2 linked regions of the Saccharomyces cerevisiae S288C genome follow. Changing the gene in region 1 together with any one later gene gives a genetic interaction. Each region holds a gene or a part of one and is shown on either strand. Other genes may lie near its edges.

Region 1 (3,051 bases):
AATATGGTCTCCAAGCAGTTCAACTACTTTTCATGAATGTAGCATTTTCAAGGCACCTCTAACAATAAAAAAAACGACACCAGCAGGATTTGAACCAGCGCGGGCAGAGCCCAACAGATTTCAAGTCTGTCGCCTTAACCACTCGGCCATAGTGCCTATCATTATGAATTTCCCAAAAAAGAACCACTATCAGAGACATATAAAAATAAGAACACATCCACCGATATCTGTTACAATGAAACCCTAAAATATCATCCATTTGGGGTAGTATTCATGCTACCAGTATATCCTGTATGCGTAATATTATAGCCTTTTCCAACAGTGCACCCAAATATAATCACAAATCACCCAATTCTCAAATTCACTTGTTAAAATGAAAATACCAAAGCCTCATCATACCGTTCTATTGTCCATCTCCAACACAAAAGTACCATAATAATTTTCCGATTCGACACGAATACAGATAGATGGGCACATGGCAAACTTAGCTCAGTATGGGCTTGTAGGTTGTAAACGAGTCAGAAATTTCAACAATAAAAAATACATCAGATAGTGTTTCGATGTTCTTAATTACACGTGAATTATCAAAAACCATCAACATACCAGCCAACATCAGTGTAGGTGGAATAAAACTTTCTTACCATGTACAGTAAATGGACCATGACGCCGTGCACAAGCTTATGCATAATGAGCTAAGCGGGAAGACATTTTCAAACTACGTGATAGTTCCGACTGCCCTTTCAATTGCTAATGTAGCAATATGTTAGGAATGCAATATTCCAAAATGCTGTCTGTGTCAGTGAGAATAACAAAAACATTGAATAAACTTTTCTATGGTAATAACCACGCCAGATAAGGGCGTTGCCATCGTTTTCATTTTTTTTTTTTTTTCAAATGGTGGGGTCACCGTTGTGAAAAGAAACCTTTGATTCTCAACCATATCGGTACTCGGACTAATCACTTAAATCTTTCCAAGGGATTATCGAGAATGTCATAGTGCAAAATAATCTTAGCTTTCAATAATTTTTTCATTTGGAGTCACACTCCCGTTAAAACCTAGTCAACGGCTTCCACTTAAAGCTATCAACAAGGGGCAATTGATTTTGCATTTTCGTCTAAATGAAAGTTGCAGCCAGCAATTTACCCGAAGTTTAAATAAATCAATGCAAACCATGTTCAACTTAAACAGCAATCGCTTTCTATTACCTTGGAATTATATCAGAACGTCTATCTGCGAAGCTTTAATAAAGTACTGGAAGTTGTGTCTGAAATGTCTGTTTTGGTAAATTTGTTTGATCCTGATTATACACCTCAAAGGACCACGTTAAGTGGCCATATGACGAGTGTTATTGCGTGCTTGCAAGTTGAAGATAATTATGTCATTACAGGAGGATGTGATAAAACGATCAGAGTTTATAACTTAGTAAATAAAAGATTTCTTTTACAACTATCAGGTCATGATGGTGAGGTTTGGGCATTGAAGTATGCCCATGGCGGTATTTTAGTCAGCGGTTCTACAGGCAGAACGGTGCGAGTTTGAGATATTAAGAAAGGTTGTTGTACCCATGTGTTTAAAGGTCATAACTCTACGGTGAGGTGCCTAGATATAGTAGAATATAAAAATATCAAGTACATTGTTACTGGTTCGAGAGATAACACTTTGCACGTTTGGAAATTGCCCAAGGAGTCCTCCGTTCCTGATCATGGGGAAGAACATGATTATCCATTAGTCTTTCATACCCCTGAGGAGAACCCATATTTTGTTGGTGTTTTAAGAGGACATACGGCGACTGTAAGAACTGTCTCAGGCCACGGTAATATTGCCATTAGTGGCTCCTATGATAATACATTGATTGTGTGGGATGTTGCGCAAATGAAATGTCTATATATCTTGAGTGGACATACGGATCGTATTTATTCGACAATCTACGATCATGAAAGAAAAAGGTGCATCTCTGCCAGTATGGATACCACTATTAGAATTTGGGATTTGGAAAATATAAGGAATAATGGAGAATGTTCCTACGCAACAAATTCAGCATCGCCATGCGCCAAAATACTTGGTGCTATGTACACTTTGCGGGGTCACAGAGCCCTAGTCGGTTTATTGGGATTATCCGATAAATTTTTAGTCAGTGCTTCTGTAGACGGTTCAATAAGGTGTTGGGACGCTAACACTTACTTTCTGAAGCACTTTTTCGATCACACGCAGTTGAATACAATCACCGCATTGCACGTTTCTGATGAGGTATTAGTGAGTGGATCTGAAGGTTTGCTCAATATTTATGATTTAAATAGTGGGCTGTTAGTCCGTTCAGATACATTGAGTGGTGCTGATAATGTTTGGAACGTTAGTTTTAAGGACAACACACTTGTGGCAGCGGTAGAACGAGACAAGCGAAATCTTTTAGAAATTTTGGACTTTAGTTGAAGATTGATGTGAGAATGATGCAGAACTTACCTTGTCACGTTTGGAACTCAGTTGTACTTTTTCGGTGTAAACAAATATAAAACTTTAGAATTTACATTAATAAGTTATGTGCTATTTATTAGTTTAATATATCAACATTAATTACATGCGAGCTATGTATTATTAGCTCAATCAGCAGGACTAAAATCGAGGAAAAAGTAATTTTGTTTATGCCCAGTTCAGTTATCGTCCATTTGTAGCAAATGTGGTACAAGTTGACCCATATTTTCATGCATTGGGCCATGCAGTAATTATCACACTCACTTTGTCATAATGTATACAATGGCCGCTTATTTGCGACTCGTCTCATATTTTTCCTGAAACTGTAGCTGTGTGTAATATTATTCATTAACTTCGATAATTCGGCTACAGAAGACAAGAGCTACATCCTTACTGGTGCGAATAAATGACATAATCTGTCAAGAGTACCGAAGTAAAAGCAACGATTGCCGAACACATCTTCCTGAAGTATCATATGCCAATACAAGGTTTCAATAGGAATTATGAAAGCGGCATTATCACCCTTAATCTGAAATATGTAATGATGACGGTGCAGTATGTTGACTACATTGTAAAGTTGC
Region 2 (2,513 bases), on another chromosome or scaffold:
CACCCTGGTGTACAATTTGGAACCTAACTGTGGCTGGCGGTTAACCTTAGCCAGGCTGCTGGTGGGCCTACCGTGCGTTGTTATCTGGAAGTACGTGATCAGCAAACCGATGATCTACACGTTATTGATCAAAGTTTTCCATCTGAAGGATGACAGAAACGTTGCGGCAAGAAAAAGACTGGAGGCCACGCACAAAGAAGGTGCAAGCAAGTACGAATGTCCATTATATATTGGAGAGCCCAAGATTGACATTCTAGGTAGATTTATTATCTATGCTGGCGTTCCATTCACCGTTGTAATGTGCAGCCCCGTCCTATTTTCCCTCTTAAATATAGCATAAAACAAAAGGAACAAAAAAAAAAAAATAGACAAAATGTAGTGTAAATGTATCCGTTTCTAAATTAAGTACTTATAAAAAAATATGTAACTGAAAAAGTCATGTTGTATAAAAATTTGAGGCACCGTACCAGGACCCCAAAAGAAGAATAGGTTAAAGTCATCATCATTAATAAACCAGGAAAGAAAAGAGCATAATTAAGATACGCCTACAACTTTGGCGCGTGAGCCAAGTGTCTTCTGGTAGCTAGTGAGGCACTCAAGGGACCATATGTCTTGGCATTTTCTCTATATTCCTTAAAAGAGTTGAACGAGTTGCCCGGAGATCTCTTGAAAATAGTGCTGGCCATGGCGCTAGCGGCTATCCTTGAGACACCCGCGGAGGCGGCTGAAGAAGAGACGGCGGCGGCTAATCTGGTACTTTGGGCGATCATTTAATACGTTTATTTACTGTCTTATGAATGTAATATTTAAACTTGTGCGTAATCATTAAAACAAAGGTGAAAAATCACATTAAACATCTCCCTACATTACTTTCGGTTTATTCTTTTATATGTGTGAAACTTTCTCTCTGCACCAGGAAGTGGTCATGCTTGATGCTCGGCTCCCACCGGAAAAACTAACTTGCGGGCGGGAAATTGATCCCTGAAGTCATGCCCCTCACCTTCATTCGTGGATCTTATCTCCAGAGCAACCAAATGTGGAAATGGCATGACACCCCCCCACACACGTTCCGCCCACTTTTTTTCAAATGTGTGACACACCCATACCCCATAATGTTGCACGTGACAGGTTTGTATCACGTGCTTCTTAGGGTTTTGTTTTAGGTCTGAGACATTTTAGGGTTTTTTTTCATCAAGTCTAGATCGTTTGTAACGAACGATTGCTCCTTTTTTCTTTTTTTTTTGCTTTTTTTTTATACTCACCGTTTACTGTCATTATGTCTCTCGAGAAACTGGGCGTGTGTGCTAACCAAGACTGGATCACCTTTACATAGCACTTATTGCATTTCTTGGTGTTTCGTACCCTACAATTGACAAAAGTAATTTTGTCGTTCATTTCTTCATCGATTCTTTCCTCTTTCAACAACTTCCTTATTTTATCTTGGGATCGTAACTTCACTTAATTAATCACGATTCCCATATTCGTTAACACCTCTTAAGGTTTGCTGTAAATATATTTATGTTATAAAAAAAGAAGATATTATGGTAGAAAACTCGTCGAGTAATAATTCAACAAGGCCAATTCCAGCAATACCTATGGATCTACCCGATTATGAGGCGCTCCCCACCCACGCGCCATTGTACCATCAACTTATAGCGGGTGCATTTGCTGGTATAATGGAACATTCAGTGATGTTCCCGATAGATGCCCTTAAGACGCGAATACAATCAGCCAACGCGAAATCGCTGTCTGCCAAGAATATGCTTTCGCAAATATCTCACATCTCTACTTCCGAAGGAACTCTAGCCCTATGGAAGGGTGTTCAGTCTGTCATACTAGGTGCGGGACCTGCGCATGCAGTGTATTTTGGTACGTATGAGTTCTGCAAAAAAAATCTTATCGATTCGAGTGATACGCAAACGCACCATCCTTTTAAGACAGCTATCAGTGGTGCCTGTGCCACCACGGCATCTGACGCATTAATGAACCCATTCGACACAATAAAACAGAGAATCCAACTCAATACCTCGGCATCAGTATGGCAAACCACAAAGCAGATTTACCAATCTGAAGGTTTGGCAGCATTTTATTATTCTTACCCAACCACCCTAGTAATGAACATCCCATTTGCAGCATTTAATTTCGTCATATATGAATCATCCACAAAATTTTTAAACCCATCAAATGAGTACAACCCCCTCATACATTGTCTGTGTGGCAGTATCAGCGGATCGACATGTGCGGCGATCACAACACCTTTAGACTGCATAAAGACAGTACTGCAGATAAGGGGCAGTCAAACAGTTTCGTTGGAAATTATGAGAAAGGCGGATACTTTTAGTAAAGCAGCCAGTGCCATATATCAAGTTTATGGCTGGAAAGGGTTTTGGAGAGGTTGGAAACCAAGGATAGTGGCAAACATGCCGGCTACTGCTATATCATGGACAGCTTATGAATGTGCAAAACATTTCCTAATGACGTATTAGTTGGTTCTTACATGTCATATTATTTTC

The links. A genetic interaction does not mean that the proteins touch.
Region 2: mutations in RRT13 (region 1) and DPI8 together harm fitness more than expected from each alone (negative genetic interaction), as found in Saccharomyces cerevisiae (one large-scale study listed by BioGRID).

Annotation. Positions count from the first base shown.
Region 1 is NC_001137.3:288,369-291,419, forward strand, and holds RRT13 (Rrt13p), read left to right. Parts: upstream 1-1,873; coding exon 1,874-2,431; downstream 2,432-3,051. UniProt on the Saccharomyces cerevisiae protein: May be involved in the modulation of rDNA transcription.
Region 2 is NC_001142.9:159,078-161,590, forward strand, and holds DPI8 (Dpi8p), read right to left. Parts: upstream 771-2,513; coding exon 546-770; downstream 1-545. Other genes in the region: sphinganine kinase LCB3, read left to right, coding at 1-340; MRS3 (Fe(2+) transporter), read left to right, coding at 1,542-2,486.